Lonchura striata: one gene and its partner. The protein of the gene in region 1 interacts with the protein of each later gene in a biochemical or structural test. Links are inferred from orthologs where the notes say so. Each region holds a gene or a part of one and is shown on either strand. Other genes may lie near its edges.

The links.
Region 2: of the proteins of METTL22 (region 1) and KIN, one has a biochemical effect on the other in vitro, tested with the Homo sapiens proteins (2 studies listed by BioGRID). The link is inferred for Lonchura striata from reciprocal best matches to the Homo sapiens genes METTL22 and KIN.

What each region holds. Positions count from the first base shown.
Region 1 is NC_134618.1:6,647,734-6,655,916, forward strand, and holds the start of METTL22 (methyltransferase-like protein 22), read left to right. Parts: upstream 1-4,539; 5' UTR 4,540-4,680; intron 4,681-5,481; exon of another isoform or gene 5,482-5,582; intron 5,583-6,254; 5' UTR 6,255-6,374; coding exon 6,375-6,570; intron 6,571-8,183. UniProt on the Homo sapiens protein: Protein N-lysine methyltransferase. Trimethylates KIN at Lys-135 (in vitro).
Region 2 is NC_134607.1:68,974,905-68,983,241, reverse strand, and holds the start of KIN (DNA/RNA-binding protein KIN17), read right to left. Parts: upstream 3,729-8,337; 5' UTR 3,657-3,728; coding exon 3,543-3,656; intron 3,001-3,542; coding exon 2,906-3,000; intron 2,087-2,905; coding exon 2,043-2,086; intron 1,953-2,042; coding exon 1,830-1,952; intron 966-1,829; coding exon 784-965; intron 1-783. Other genes in the region: ATP5F1C (ATP synthase F(1) complex subunit gamma, mitochondrial), read left to right, coding at 3,824-3,867, 4,968-5,002, 5,940-6,071, 6,429-6,633, 7,058-7,201, 7,595-7,659, 8,126-8,281. UniProt on the Homo sapiens protein: Involved in DNA replication and the cellular response to DNA damage. May participate in DNA replication factories and create a bridge between DNA replication and repair mediated by high molecular weight complexes.

The DNA of each region.
Region 1 (8,183 bases):
AGAGCCTGCTAACCCCAGGTCCTTTTTTGACCAGACTGCTGACGAGCATTTATATCAAGAGTAAATCAACACTACATAAAGATTTAATTCCCACATCACTGTAATTTTTTTAGGCATTCATTGCCATGCTAGGGAACAAATAATTCCTGCAAAGTCAGAAAACTAAGAACATAGTTAACAAAACAATTTCATGTATTCATTGGGAAATGATTATAATGAAAGGAAAAAGCAGTAGTGCAAATTAGTTTCTCTAGAGACGCAGTTTCAATTTCCTGAGGTCTTTCAATGTTAAATTAGGATCTTTACCATAAAAGAGTCAAAATTTTAATCTAGGCTTAGCTTTATAGAGAAAGAACACTGCATAGACTAGGTGTTGGTTGCGTCTGCCAAAGTCAATCTGCTGTGCAGAATAACAAAGATAATTCAGAATATGCTCTCAAAGTTGCAGTCAATTATTAGTCCCCAGAGTGTGATGCAGCAAGATTATCAGTCTCCTCAAGCCTGAGCATGGCAAAGCTTCTGTAAGCAACTTTTACCCTCTCTGTTCTGCTCGCAGGGTTGGCTGGGTGCTGGAGGTTTCGTGGTGCTCTGGGAATCACCAGCTTTGCTTCCCAGGACTTTTCCCAGGTAAAATGCATCTCTAGGGCAGTTCCTTCTCAACTGTTCTGAACCTGTGCTGTTCAGGTGCAGCACAATCCCACTGCATTCCTTAGATTTCCCCAGTGCTTCTTTATTTCATTTCCTCTGCCCTGTCTGTATTTGTGAAGAGGTGACTGCATTACTAGAAGTAGATTATTTATAAACTGAAGAAGGGAGGGATTCCCACGATGTTTACCCCCCTGACTGTAGGAAAGCCAGTCAGTGCAAGTGTGCACCAATGACTGTAATTAATTCCTGCCATGGTGACAAGCACAATCAACACACCTCATTTCATTCACAATCCTTTTCCAGGAAATATCACTTTTTTTTTTTTCTCCTGTTTTTTTTTGTTTTTTTTTTTTTTTTTTTGTTTGTTTGTTTTGTTGGTTTGGTTTGGTTTTGTTATTGTTGATGGTGTTATTTTTGTTGAGTGAAGAATTAAATTCAAACAGTTTTACCATTCATTCTTCCAGTAAAGCTAACGGGATTCTAGAGTTTATTGTTCTTTTAAACTTACCACAACTACTTCCCCTGTGGCTCAAAAGAGAAAAGCTGTTAGACAATATACATTATTATAATTTTCAGATTTTCTGCCCTTGGAAATTAATAACTACTGATTGGCTGATATGAGGCTTGGCTATTCCTTCACAAATTTAATCTTTTCATCATGCACTTGTACCCATTCAGTTTTGAAGAGTCACAACCTACAATGAATTTAAAAAAGGGCTGACTAGTCACAATTTATCTCTGATGAGAGACTACAAGATATACAAGGTCCCGACTCTTACTCAATATTACCTGATCTGCCAAAAAAACCCATTGAATTCAAAGGGGGTTGCAGGAGGGACATACCTGAAGTAACCAGTACAGCTTCTTAGTACTTGATCAATGGATGAAACTGGCCCAATTCATCATTCCAAACAAGCAATTAAACTTTGGTAAAGTTGTCTGGCATGTAAGCTAAATTTAAACAAATTCCTAGGTCACATGGCTGTGAGGAAATCAGGAATGTAACTGAGGTCCATCCTTAAAAGAGGTACAGGAATTTACTGCCCAAGCCCTCTTGTGTGTAGTACAGAAACTGCATGTCCCTAAACAATTTTCATCATGTTATGTTGTGTTATGTTGTGTTATGTTATGTTATGTTATGTTATGTTATGTTATGTTATGTTATGTTATGTTATGTTGTGTTGTGTTATGTTATGTTATGTTTGTTATGTTATGTTATGTTTGTTATGTTATGTTATGTTATGTTATATGTTGTAACACCTGTAGCTGCACATCTTCTGCAGCCACAAGATATTCCTGCTTTGCCCAAATATTATGCATATGTGAAACGAAGTATCAGCAATTCTTAGAAAAGCAATTGCAGCAGCATTGCTTTTTAAGAAATCCATTTCTCACATAATGTACCTTTGTGTTTATAAGTGCCCATGTAACACAGCTTTTTAGCTACTTCTCTAATTATGCTAAACCTGTGTACCAGTAAGTGCCTCTTGCTGCAGACTGGTGAGATTTCATGACAAATGTAATCTGCTTTGCCTGCTTAGTGCTCCATAGCAGTGAGGAACATGCCAGAAGAGAGAGACACCGCAGTAATAATTTATGTGGCAGTGTATCACCAAGGGAAGTAAAATAATGTTCTGCTCTTTCACAGGAGACGGTTAAAAGGGAACAAATCTCCAAAGCATTTTTGTCAGATAGTCATCCAATAGAATTCCCCACAGTAATTGCAATGAGATAGCTGAATGGCTTCTGTGTTTTCCATTTAATTGCCACTCAAAACTCTTGACTGTAAAAATAGGGAAAGATTATTTAATTGTTTTAATAATTATTTTAATAATTATTAGCTTTTGTTGAGGGAGGCAGATGATAAGGAGACATCTAGAAATAGATACAGACTATAAATTATATTCCAAGGGTTTTTTATGCATTGACTAATACTTCCTAGTACTCATGAAAAATACAAGGATCATCTATAGCAGTTGACATTAGCATCATATGCTAATGAGGTAATCAATATGTAAATGGCCGCTTTTGAACAAGATCCTCCTGCTGAAAGATAAAACAGCTCCAACAGCTACGGCGGACTTGCCGAGGAGGCGAAGTAGAACGCAGATGGGAGTTTGGAGCGCACCTCTGTCAGTGATTTTGTACAGAGGGCTGGGCAGTGTCCGGCTGCTGAAGTGTCCTGGGCAGTGTCCGGCTGTGGAGGTGTTCCTGGCAGTGTCCGGCTGTTCAGGTGTCCCTGGCAGTGTCCGGCTGTGGAGGTGTCCCGGGCAGTGTCCGGCTGTTCAGGTGTCCCTGGCAGTGTCTGGCTGTGGAGGTGTCCCTGGCAGTGTCCGGCTGTGGAGGTGTCCCGGGCAGTGTCTGGCTGTGGAGGTGTCCCTGGCAGTGTCCGGCTGTTCAGGTGTCCCTGGCAGTGTCCGGCTGTGGAGGTGTCCCGGGCAGTGTCCGGCTGATGAAGTGTCCTGGGCAGTGTCCGGCTGTGGAGGTGTCCCTGGCAGTGTCCGGCTGTGGAGGTGTCCCTGGCAGTGTCCGACTGTTCAGGTGTCCCTGGCAGTGTCCGGCTGTTCAGGTGTTCCGGGCAGTGTCCGGCTGTGGAGGTGTCCCTGGCAGTGTCCGGCTGTTCAGGTGTCCCGGGCAGTGTCCGGCTGTTCAGGTGTCCCTGGCAGTGTCCGGCTGCCGAGGTGTCCCGGGCAGTGTCCGGCTGATGAAGTGTCCTGGGCAGTGTCCGGCTGTGGAGGTGTCCCTGGCAGTGTCCGGCTGTTCAGGTGTCCTGGGCAGTGTCCGGCTGTTCAGGTGTCCCGGGCAGTGTCCGGCTGTGGAGGTGTCCTGGGCAGTGTCCGGCTGTTCAGGTGTCCCTGGCAGTGTCCGGCTGCCGAGGTGTCCCTGGCAGTGTCCGGCTGTTCAGGTGTCCCGGGCAGTGTCCGGCTGTTCAGGTGTCCCGGGCAGTGTCCGGCTGTGGAGGTGTCCCGGGCAGTGTCCGGCTGTTCAGGTGTCCCGGGCAGTGTCCGGCTGTGGAGGTGTCCCTGGCAGTGTCCGGCTGTGGAGGTGTTCCTGGCAGTGTCCGGCTGTTCAGGTGTCCCTGGCAGTGTCCGGCTGTGGAGGTGTCCCGGGCAGTGTCCGGCTGTGGAGGTGTCCCGGGCAGTGTCCGGCTGTTCAGGTGTCCCTGGCAGTGTCCGGCTGTTCAGGTGTCCCTGGCAGTGTCCGGCTGCCGAGGTGTCCTGTCCCACACCATTGCCCCTCTGCACTGACCACACAGCCCAGCGCCAGACCAGCTGCCAGCTCGCCCTGGAGACGAGCTCAGCTGGGAAACGACTGCCGAAGAGACCACGGTTCAAAACGTAGAAACTAAAATCTGGTGGTCTAACTCTGAGGTAAATCTCTGTAGTTAAAGCCTCTCAAAGACTCTGGTTATGATGTTTCCACTCAGTCTTGTTTATTTCATCTGGTTTACACATAGTAAAAACTACATAGATAAAAACTTCAGAATTAAGCAACTAAACCCCCAATTCCCTACACAACTGAACACCTGTTGCTTCAGCTAATCTAACAGTGGTACTAGAATTCTGACATTATCTGGACTAAGGAAGAAACGCCTATTTGCCTCCGCAGATGTCTTCTCATTTTGTTTTCAAGCCGTTTGTAGATTTTGCCTGGAATTACAGATGAACCGAGACAGGGCAAGTGATGCTAGACACAATTAATAAAAGAACGCGAGTAGGAAACACGCGTTGAAACTCCGAGCAAGTCCTGCGGATGCTTCAGCGCCAGCCTGAACTGCGCTGCCGGCGCGGCGTGCCCGCCTCTCCGGCAGGCTTTCCGCGGCTTCAGCGCTGGGTAACTCCAAACGCAGGCGCTGGGCAACTCCAAACGCAGGCGAGCCCCGAGCACAGGGAGCACCCAGCGCCCGCAGCGCCCGCGGGGGCCGCCGGGCAGCGGCGTCAGCGGAAGGAGCCGGAAGGAGCCGCCACCTCCGCAGCGACCGCGGCAGGGAGCGAGCGGCGGGACCGGCGGGACCAGGAGGAACCGGGAGAGGTGCGAGCGGGGACAGGGGAGGGTGGGGCCTGAACGGGGAAAGGGGAGAGGTGGGGTCTGACCGGGGAAAGGGGAGAGTGGGATCTGAACGGGGAAAGGGGAGAGTGGGATCTGAACGGGGAAAAGGGAGACGTGGGATCTGAACGGGGAAAGGGGAGAGTGGGATCTGAACGGGGAAAAGGGAGACGTGGGATCTGAACGGGGAAAGGGGAAAGGTGGGATCCGAGCGGGGAAAGGGGAGAGGAGGGATCTGAATGGGAAGAAGTGAGAGAGCTGGGATCTGAGCTGGGGAAAGGGGGAGAGGTGGGATCCGAGCGGGGAAAGGGGGAGAGCCGCCGGTGGGACGCGGGACCAGAGCGGGGGAAAAGCGGGACAGGCGGGTCCCACCGTGGGGACGGGCGGGTCCCACCGTGGGGAGAGGCGGGTCCCACCGTGGGGACGGGCGGGTCCCACCGTGGGGACGCGGGACGGGCGGGTCCCACCGTGGGGACGGGCGGGTCCCGCCGTGGGGACGCGGGACAGGCGGGTCCCACCGTGGGGAGAGGCGGGTCCCACCGTGGGGACGGGCGGGTCCCACCGTGGGGACGCGGGACAGGCGGGTCCCACCGTGGGGACGGGCGGGTCCCACCGTGGGGACGGGCGGGTCCCACCGTGGGGACGGGCGGGTCCCACCGTGGGGACAGGCGGGTCCCGCCGTGGGGACAGGCGGGTCCCGCCCGTGCCCGCGGAGGCTCCGGCGGGTCCCGCAGCAGGAGCGGGCGCTCCCCGCGCACCTCTGCCAGGCTCCCGCAATGAACCCCGCCGGGACAGGGCAGGTTTGGAGCTGGCAGAAGTGAACAGAACTGCACAGCCACAGATACAGAGAATTCTTCCAAAGCCTGGAGCGTTGTCAGTGTGGATAGGTATGATGGTCCAGCAGGGAGTAGGGCTATACTAAGTTGATCACGGGTCTGGAGCATCATTCTTAGGAGCAAGGGCTGAACTTGAGAAAACATGACTGAGAGGAGCCTTCTTACTGTTTATAAACATTAGAAGGAGGGCTCAGAGCAGGGACCAGGCTGTGCTCCCTGGGGCCCAGCAATGGGGCAGGAACTGATACCCAGGAAGCTCCACCTGAATATGAGGAAGAACTTCCTGTGCAGGGACCGAGCACTAGAACAGAATAGAGTGTGTGTAGTCTCCCTCACTGGAGATACTCCAGAACCATCTGGAGTCCATCCTGTGCTCCAGAATGACCCTGCCTGAGCAGGGAGGTGGGACCAGATGAGCCACTGCGATCCCTTCCAGCCTGAAGCATTCAGTGATCTTGTTCAAGCACAATTGGATAATAGCAAATTTAGCATAATCATTCAAGATGTCAGTGCCAACACAGGAAGTGGCCTTATTCCCTTTGAAGACTTTGATTAGGCAGTGGCTGCCACTGAACTACTAACAGAGGATTCTGTAAAAGAGAGCCTTGGAGCATTCCTACTCTATTGAACAGTGTAATCTGATTTTTAGCTTCTGAAATACCTCTGGAGCAATGTTCAGACAGTGTCAGGCTGCCACTAAAAGCTGCCTGTGTTTGGTTTTAGGTTGAGTATCCTGATGAGTAACTTGTCTTGGAGCATGGTGGAGCTTGCACGATCACACCTTCTCAAAAACTATGTCCTGAGTTTCCCTTGGTGAGCAAAGCTGTTACTGGATACCTGTAAATGGAAGAGAATGGAATCCCTTTGTGGCTGTTTGAGCACTGCAGATGTTCCTCTCACCAGCACCCTGTGGTAGATTTAGCAGAGAAGGAGATGGATAACCCCACGTTTAGAAGTGACACTGTGCTGTCTGATGTTCACTTGCACTGCCCAAGCAAAAGACACCTCATGGTACGCCTGAATGCAGTTGGACAGCCAGGTAATGGATGCTGGCACTGATGGAACTGTATTTTAACTGTACTCAGATCTTTGGAAAGCTGAATCCTCCTCTAAGTGGTTGATATTAATAGTTACATATTTTATTCCAGTTACAAGCAGAACCACCTCCTACTCAGTCTTTAGAAAGAGGGCTAGCTGTGTTACCCTCATAAAATTAACGCCAAAAAAAGAAAACTTGCAGACATGTAGGATTTGTCTTAAAACTTGTAGGACTTGTAGGAAAACTTGTAGGATTTGTCTTAAAAATTAAACTTTGAATTACTTTCTGAGAAAAAGTAACCAAATTTACTCACTTGCAGGTTTAATTTAATGGTTCATTGAGCAATATTGTCAACGTAGCACTTTGGGAGTCATGAATTAATAGAAGGTTGTGATGTTCCTTATACACAAACAAAAGGCAAGAAGCCAGGGGTTTTAAATAATGTAACTTAAGTTTAAAATATAAGCTATCAGTAATTGTTTTATCAAGTTTAATTAAATGTTTATGTGATGATTTACTATCAGTTCCAAGAAAGCATAACAGCTTTCTTTGGGTATATGGTGTTTTTTTGCTTTTGGTGGGTTTTTTTGTTGGAGGGATTGGTTTTTTTATGGGGAGGTATTTGCTTAAAAAAAAAAGTCAACAAGAAAACTCAACATAGCAATGACTTTAACTGACAGAATTGGAAGAGTCAAGGCTATAGAGGAAATTAGTTGGCAAATGCCCCTGGCTGATTGCCAGCTTGTAGGTTGCTATAAAGTTGTCAAGGGAACTGACCTTGAAGCTGCTGACAAAATGTTCTGTACAAAATTCCTGCTGTGGCAGAAGTGTTAATTGTTTTTTCAAACCCAGTTGTGACATCAAAAGAGTAACTTCTGCAGCTGTTCTGGTGTATGACAATGTGAAAAATTATCCAAGTAGGCCTGACAAGGAAATTAATAATAATTTTGACCCTGTACAGGTCAAAACACAGGTAATTAATGCTGTGGTGGGTCTTCATGCTGCTTGGTATGTGTTAGCTGTGATTGTGATTGATGCAAGGAACCTTTCAGCAGAAGGAAGTGACAGGGGGTTCTGCCTACTTCAGTGAGCTCTGTCTGGGACATTCCTCTGGTTATTGAGACAAGAATTGCATTGTAGTAGGACAGCCTTTAATGCCATAACAATCTACCAGTGCCACTTTGCTGTGTTTTGGGGAAGTTTATGGGGATTTAGTCTCTTCCCCTTTGAGTCAGTTTGACTTTGCACCTTTTGAATGCTGTAGAAATGCATAGGATCAGAATGAATTTGGAGAACAAAGCATTTAATTCACTGATGGCATCCTCTGTTTCAGTTAGTTTCATCTGGCCATCATGCAACAGTGGAAACTTTAAAAATTTCTCATGCTAGGACAGGCACTGAAGATTTTATTAGATTTAGCTAAAAATGGTCTCACTAGAGAAGAACCTCAGTCAGATTTCAGTAGACCACCTTGGAACATCTTGCCTACGAAAGAAACTAGAATAGAACTCCATAAATTGTGAAATTGTTGAAAGCAGTGGTGGCAAGGACTTAATCTCTTCCCTTTTGTTGGTAATGAACATAGATGGAAGGACTATGGAATGTCTGTTCTT
Region 2 (8,337 bases), on another chromosome or scaffold:
CAACCTGGCCTGATTTGTAAAAGATTAAAATTGAAAACATCATCTCACTACAGGCTCCTGTGCAACTCTCCAATTAATAGAGATGCTGCCTAAACTCGCTCAATTTCAGCATAAAAGGCAAGTAGCCTTGATGCATCAGTTTCCTCTATCTGAACCAGCATGATCTGACTGGTTTCTGGAAAGACTAATAATTCAAATAAGGAAATTCTGGTATCTTTCCAATTTTTTGGCACCGAAGACTCAGACCATTTAAATTTCAATTAATTTTAAATTAAGAAGCAGGTAATTGCTTACAACAGCATTTAAATGTAACTATCAATACCCAGGATCAAATGGGAGATTTCAGCCCCAGGCAACGCGTATGGGGGTCATAGCATGATGCCAAGTAAACAGATCCCAAATAACCACCAAAATAGAACTTTTCACTAGGTGAACTTGATTATGCCAGATCCCCCTGGTTATTTATCTCAGCCTCCTCAATGCACCAGGTACTTGTTATCTGCAGCCCTACATAGCTGTGAAATACCACAAATTAAGACATCATGCAGCTTAATGGATTATTTGCTCCTGCTTTGTAAATTCTAGAGTGATTTTTAAATCACTAATCACTAGAAGAGCAGTAATTATTTCTTCTTTACTACTACTGCAAGCTGGGTACAATGTAATCCAAGTTAGGAAGCAAAGGAAATACCAGTGCAAGGCTTCCAGGAGCATCAAACTCCCCACTGACTTAACCACAAGAGCTTTGAGCTGAAGGTTCACACAGAGTGCAATTTTTCTCACCAGTTCTTTCCCCTCCAAACCTCTTCTAACTTGTTGCTCAATGAATTTAGCAGTTTTTTCCTCGTCATCAAGGTCCTGTTTCTTCTTCCTCTCTTGTTCTTGCTGCCTGCGAATGGTCTCTGGGTCCCTGTCAATGTACTGAATGTACCAGCCTTTAGGAGTCTCATCAACCTTGCAAAGACCTAAAAGGTCAAGCAAAAACAAAGTAAAATTAACAATATCAAGATCATTTTTAGTCCATGTTCACTGTAGCAATGCAGATACTTCACCAGAGACAAGTGGGCTGCTAAAACTGACTTTGAATTATCTGTACCACGTGTTTCTGCCCTCAGCTACCCAGATGTGTTTGGACACAGGCCAGTGTACATCACAAAGGGCATGAAGTGTTTTACAAGACTTTCCTTATTGAAGAAAATGTTTCCTTCCCACTGTTTTAACAAGGAAGAAGACAGAAATCTAGCATGTATAAATGATATGCACTCACAGTACCATACTAAAGGAAATATTGCAGTACTGTGCTATTGTTACCAACTCTGGCAAGAGACTTTCCAAACTCTGCAACTGCTGGATGTATCCTGAAGAGCAAGGGCATCCAGAGCCAAAGTAAACTTTCTGTCACACCACAGTGCCATTAAATCTCTCTTCCTCCCACTAAACACAGAACTGCAGATCTCCAGCTCTAACCCTTCCACTAGGCCAGGAATTAAAGTGACTGCTTGCTTCTTGTCACCTCAGACATGGAAATAATCTGTAATTTTTAAATGGCAACTGTTAGCAGTTGATTCAGAATTTAGCAGTGTATCCAGTAAATACAGACCAGCAGATGAAAGCAAGAAAAGCTCACAAGTGATGTACTCATCCCAGACGTCTCACATTTTCCACAAGCAAACTCCTAATGGTTAGCACAGAAATATGTTTGGAAATCTTTTCTTGTATATACAGGAGGAGAGGGGAAGAAAGAAAAAAGAACTAACATATTTACTGATCAATTACCAAGAATTCAATTACCCAATAATTTTAAGACTTCCCTGAGCAGGTACACCTACCTTCTCTCCCCAGCCATTTTGTAAAATCAGTCAGTGTCTCCCACTGTGTGGCATTCATGTGGATGTGTTCTCGATGGCTGATGTATTCATTGTACACAATATTATTGTGGACTCTCTTTGTTCCTAAAATACAGAATTATTATTACTATTATGTAGCTTGCACTGAACCAACAAAAGACACTAAGAAAAACAAAAAAACAGCAAAATATTTACCAAATCGCCTTCTGAGCAATTCTAGGAAATCATTTCGGAATTCCCTAAGGAAATAAAAAAAAAAATATCTTTAGTAAGCTTTAACAACTAAGAAGCAATTTTCTGCTGTCATTAAGAATTAAACATCTCATTACTCTTTTGAGCTGAGTGTGACAATATTCAGACACATTTCCCTTTTGCAGCAGACCAGGATCAAACACAGGATGAAACACAATATGATACATGCACACACCTCAAATGTACAAGACAGTAACAGCCTCTCAAAGGCATAAAATGGAGCAAAGGAATCTCAACACTTCCCACTAATTGCTGGTGTTTGGTTACCAGGTGTCTTCCCAGGCTGACAGACACAGAGCAGAGGGCAGGACAAAGGGCAGAGGAGTGGATGGAGCAGATGGATCACTCATCTCCCTGCTAATTCCCCAGGGCTGCAGCATAAAACCTCACTTCAAACTCGTGCTGAGGACAGTTCCAGTCATCCCAGCTGTCACGTAAGTCAGCTGGACAAAGGCCTGGGAGAAGCTGGGGCATATCAGTCCCTCCCCTGACTTGCTCTTTCATTGTTATGGCTCTTTTAGCTTGTGTGTGTGTGGCAGTCATTCAGCAGGGACAGAAAAGTGATGTATTTTTAACACAGAGCAACTTTAAACAGGATTACAACATGAGACAAAACTGAATAAAATCATGAAATCTCTTATCTAAAGTTTAAACGTGGCATTGTAATTTTCAATTACAAGAAGACCTGACACTAACATGTATCACAATAAAGTGTCTTCAATGGGGCATTATTGGATCTTAGGGGTATGGCTGTGCAAACCTGACACAGGCATGAAGATCTGGGTAAGAATATACAGAAAACTTACTCAGAGAAATAATCCATGAATTGCTGAGGATTTTCAGAAGCCAGCAGCAACTGCCTCTGGTGAGACTCAGACATGCAGTGACATTTGAAGCCATTCTATAAAGCAGAAATAAATACTTGGCTTGTCTTCGTCTCATTTTGCAACACTCACAGATGAAGAGATTACTAAAAATCCTACAAATAAACTACTACAAATAAACTCCTACAAGTATGATCGCAGCTCCCACAATGTTCCCCTCGATAGCACTGGGGACATTTACAAGGGAGATTGACAGAACGAGGGACAAGGGCTTCAGACTGATAGGGGGCAGGGCTAGATGGGATATTGGGAAGAAATTCTTCCCTCGGAGGGTGGCGAGGCCCTGGCACAGGGTGCCCAGGGCAGCTGTGGCTGCTTCATCCCTGGAAGTGTCCAAGGCCAGGCTGGACAGGGCTTGGAGCATCCTGGGACAGCGGAAGGTGTCCCTGCACATGGCAGGGGGTTGGAAGTGGATGAGCTTTAAGGTCCTCCCAAACCAAGCCATTCCATGAGATCGGAGCTGCCACAAGAGCTGACCCCAGGAGAACCGGGACTCCTTCCTTAGACGGGGACCGGAGCCGCCCGAAGGAGCGGGGACCCCCCCAGCGCCCGCAGTTACCTCATCACGGCACTGTTTCTGGCACATCTGGCAGTACCAGCGCAGCTTCTGCAGCCCCTTCGACTTGATGCGGTTGGCGATGGCCTTGGGGCTGAGGAAATCCGACTTCCCCATGACGCCGGTCAGGTCCTGGTCCTGGTTCTGTTCCCGGTCCCGGTCCCGGTCCGGCTCCCGCCCCCTCCGGAAATGGCGGCGGCGCCCTGGAAGCGGATCCCGGCGGGGCCGCGCAGGCGCGCTGCGGGCGCGCTGACCTTCAGCGGGGCTGTGGTGGAGGCGCCGCCATGTTCGCCCGGGGCGGCGCGGTCGCGCTGGTCCAGCCGCAATGGTACCGGCACGGGCTGGGACGGGCGCTCTGGGCACGGGGGAACGCGTCCCGATGGCCGGGGCGGCTCTGCGGGGTGAGGGGGGGATGGCTTCCCTTGGCCGTGCGGCGCCTGGGGGCGGCGGGGTCGCGGCCGCGGGCGGCCCGTCAGGGGCTGTGGGCTCTGAGGGGAGGTGGCGGAGCCGGTGCCGGGAGATGAGGGCAGCGGGGACCCGCAGGGAGGGAGGCTCCGTCCTCGGTGGGTGGGAGAATGGGACAGGCAAGGGTTAAAGGGACAAGTTTATACATGGCAGGAGACCCTGCTCTGGCCTCCTCTGCTTCGTTTTAATAGCCTTTAGAAATGAATTGCATTGCACGAAGCTTTGTTTAAAAATATTTCTTTCTAATTTGCCCTTCTAATGCCCTCGTTTGCCCCGTGCCCTTAGCCGAGGCGTTAAACCTTTCTCTGTGCTCGGCGCTGCCGAGTCCTGGGGCCGCTTCGGGGCCCCTCAGCTCAGGGAGGACTCGGAGGTGCAGGGGCGAGTCCGGAGAAGGGGAACTGGGAAGGGTCTGGAGCCCAAGTCCTCTGAAGAGCAGCTGGAAGAGCTCAGCCTGGAGAAAAGGAGGCTCGGGGTGACCTTATCACTCTACAGCTCCCTGACAGCGCAGCGCAGTCAGGTGGGAGTTGGCCTCCTCTCAGCGACATGACAACACAGGTTTAGGTTGTTTCTTCACAGTTTCTTCACAGAAGTCGTGGTTAGGCATTGGAATGAGCTGCCCAGGGAGGTTGTGGAGTCCCTGTCCCTGGAGGTATCTGCAGAAAGACTGGATGTAGCACTCAGTGCCCGTGGCTTAGTTAGGGCACCACTTAGATAAGGTGGTGTTCAGTCATAGGTTGGACTTGATGGTCTCAGAGGTCTTTTCCAACCTAATTGATTCTGTGAAATTATATAAGGTAGGGAAGGATGAAGGTGTGCATGCAAGCCACAGGTAAGAGTGGCTTCTCTCTGCCACACGTTTTGTAAGAAACAGCAACATCACCCTGAAAGGGACTTGCCCTTGGCAGGTGTTGGTTTGCTGGAGAGCTAGTGAATTATCCTAATTTCTCCTGCATTCCTTTTCAGGGGCCAAGTCAGGAATATGGCAACGCTAAAAGACAGTAAGTAAAGGGTTTAACTGCTCTTGAGAGAGGCAAAATGTTGCAGGAAAGCCATATGTTGAAAACCATATGTTAAAGCATACTGTTTAGCCTCTGTTGGGTATGATTGTGATGTATAACAATGATATATAGGCCTGCAGTGCTAATCACATTAAACAAGTGTCCTTCAGAAAAGGAGTTGCTTGAAGTGGCTTTGGCAGTAATTTAAATGTCTTTTTATAGTTTTACTCAAATAGATTTTAAAAATATTTTTACTGTATGTGCTAAACCAGATTTCTGCTCACCTATAAGAGTTAACTTAGTTTATCTTATGTTTATTTCCTTGTGCTTTTGTGCAGCATTTGGGGGGAAAAAGGATTGACTGAATGGTTTCAGTGTGATAATGCTTCCTTAAGCCATCCCTCATAGTTCTTATATAGGGATATTGCCTTGGAATTGTGCTTGTCAATGGGATACCTGTTTTGGTTATTTTTTGCATTAGTGTTTTTATAAATGTCATTTTACCACAGTCTAAACAGAGGAGGAAATTTATTCTGTCTTCACACTATGGGGACTTTTTTGTTTGTTTGTTTCCTCTGCTTGTCATCTGTGAAAGATGACATTATACCTCAAATAATATATTTGTGAAACAGGTAGAGGTGGAAGCAAAGAGAATAGTAAATAGACTTCATGTTGGGATAAATACTAAATGAATGTTATATCTGAAGGAGATAACATCTCTATTGTAAAGATGAATCTGTGTTAGCTACATTCTTAGTCTTACTGCAAGTACCAAGGTCTTTCATGAGGTTTATTTCTGTGATGTTTGTTTATTTATTTCTTCTTCTTTGAGGAACATGGCAAAATATTTTTTTATGGCTCTTGCTGGCATTTTGTTGTTTGGGCTTGAGTCACAGTGCCCAGTACAGCCCATGACCTTCAACTCTTAACCTTGCAGTCACCAGGCGTTTGAAGTCCATCAAGAACATCCAGAAGATCACCAAGTCCATGAAGATGGTTTCTGCAGCCAAATACGCAAGAGCTGAGAGGGAGCTGAAGCCTGCGAGGGTCTATGGAACAGGAGCTCTGTGTGAGAGAAAGATCTTGCACTTAGTGATGGGGGATTAGAAGAGGAGGTTTTCATAGTGGTGATAAAATGCCAAGGCTTTTTAACCTTCCAGTAGTCTGTTTCCAAAAGAATTTGCACAGTGAACTTCACTGAGTGACATCTGATCAGAGCTGTGACTGGCTCTGAATTGTTTATTCCTCACTTCTGGTCTGACCGTGTGCAAACTTGGAACAATTGCAAAGGAGATAAAATTAATCTGGCTGAGATCTGGAGCCCCTTTGGTATTGGTTTTAGTTAGAATATTTCAGAGCATTTTTTATTACTTACTAGCTTTTTTGGCACCCTTGAAAAATGTTATGATCTTTTTTTTTTTTTCAGCTCTGTATGAGAAAGCAGAAATAAAGCCACCTGAGGACAAGAAGAAGCACCTCCTTATTGGTGTGTCCTCTGACCGAGGCCTGTGTGGTGCTATCCATACATCTATTGCTAAAACCTTGAAGAATGAAATTACCAACCTCTCAAATGCAGGGAAGGAGGTTATGGTGGTTGGAGTAGGTGACAAGATCAGAGGCCTGCTTCAAAGGTAAAAAGGATGGGGTCCAAAAGTTTAGTTTAGAGTTTTGTTGTCTCTGGTAGAAATTTCAAGACTGTAGGATTGTGTGCCATTGGCAGGAAATTGCATTTAAGGGAACTGTGTTAAATTCAAGTTCCTGTAAAAAAAAAACTGCAAATACTTTAAAAGTGGTTTTGATAATGTCACAATTTGAGAGACTGCTGCACAGCACTATTATATTCTTGAAATAAAAGCTGGCAACTGATGCTGTTACACATGTGTGTATTGTGAAGCTATTGTAGTTTAACTAAAGGCAAAGTTTCTTTCAGACTCTAATTCAGTAAAATGTTTCATTCTGAACACTCCTAAATTACAAACAGTTATTTCTAGTAAGTCTTGCTGCTCGTGTTTTAGAGCATCCACTTGGTTCTAGCACAGTTTTGTGTTGCTGCAGGACACATGGCAACTATTTCCTGCTGACATTCAAAGAGGTGGGACGGAGACCTCCAAGCTTTGGAGATGCTTCAGCCATTGCTTTAGAGCTGTTAAACTCTGGGTATGAATTTGATGAAGGCTCTGTCATCTACAATCGGTTCAGGTAAGGTTGAACTAAACTTCACTGGAAAAATACTTGGCAGAATGCTTCCAAGAGTATATTGGCCTGATGAAGTTGTATGAAAACTGAAAGGGAATATGAAAGGGAATATATGGCATATTCACTTCTTGATTTTGTTGTGTGTCAAGAACTGGGCTGTTTTTTCTAGTAGCTGTGGTTAGAACTCCCTTTTTGACTTGTGTGTAGTGAACACTGTAACATTTACAGTCAGCACATCATTATATCCATGTGGTATCCAAGATCTTTTCATCAGTGTTATCACAAAACCTTGTGGCATTGCAAAGCCAGAAGTTGTCTATTCTAATTTGATTTGAACCATTCTGTTTAGAGTCAGTTCAGTTGAACTGAAGAACCTGTTTTGCTCTTTTTGTACAGGTCTGTCATCTCTTACAAGACTGATGAGAAACCAATCTTCTCCTTTGAAACGGTGGCTGGCTCTGGTAAGTAGGGAGCTAGAAACCACCAGTTACATGCAGTGATAAATCACAAGAAAAGTACTCTGAAAATGGGACTATGGTATTTTAAAACATCTTATTATGGTGCTTGTATCATAGTTTAACAGATAGTTTTGTCTTGGCCAAGATCAGTCCAAGGCTGGCTCAGAAAGGTGCTCTCCGAGAATGTTTCTGCAGCATTGTAAGGGAAAGTTAAACATAATATGGTAATAATGTATTTTGCTTTGGTCTGACTTTCCTAATATTAAATTGAACTAAAACACATAAAACAGTTAACAGAATTATAAGTAGCATAGAGATTCTGAAGGTACACATAATATGTTCAGGGAGTCTCTCTGTACTGCCTTAAGTACTGAAACAGTCCAGACAAGTAATCTTCTCTGTGTCATTGTATTTTGCTGGAAGTAGCAAATCTTGGATGTGTCTAAGTTTGCTCCTCCATGGTTTGCAGAAAGCCTAAGTATCTATGATGATCTTGATGCTGACGTGCTGAGAAACTACCAGGAGTTCACGCTAGCAAACATTCTGTACTACTCCCTGAAAGAATCCACCACCAGCGAGCAGAGCGCCAGGATGACTGCCATGGACAACGCTAGCAAGAATGCTTGTAAGCTGCTCCCTGGCTTCTCCAGGACTTCAGTTGTTCAGCAACAAAGTGTTGAC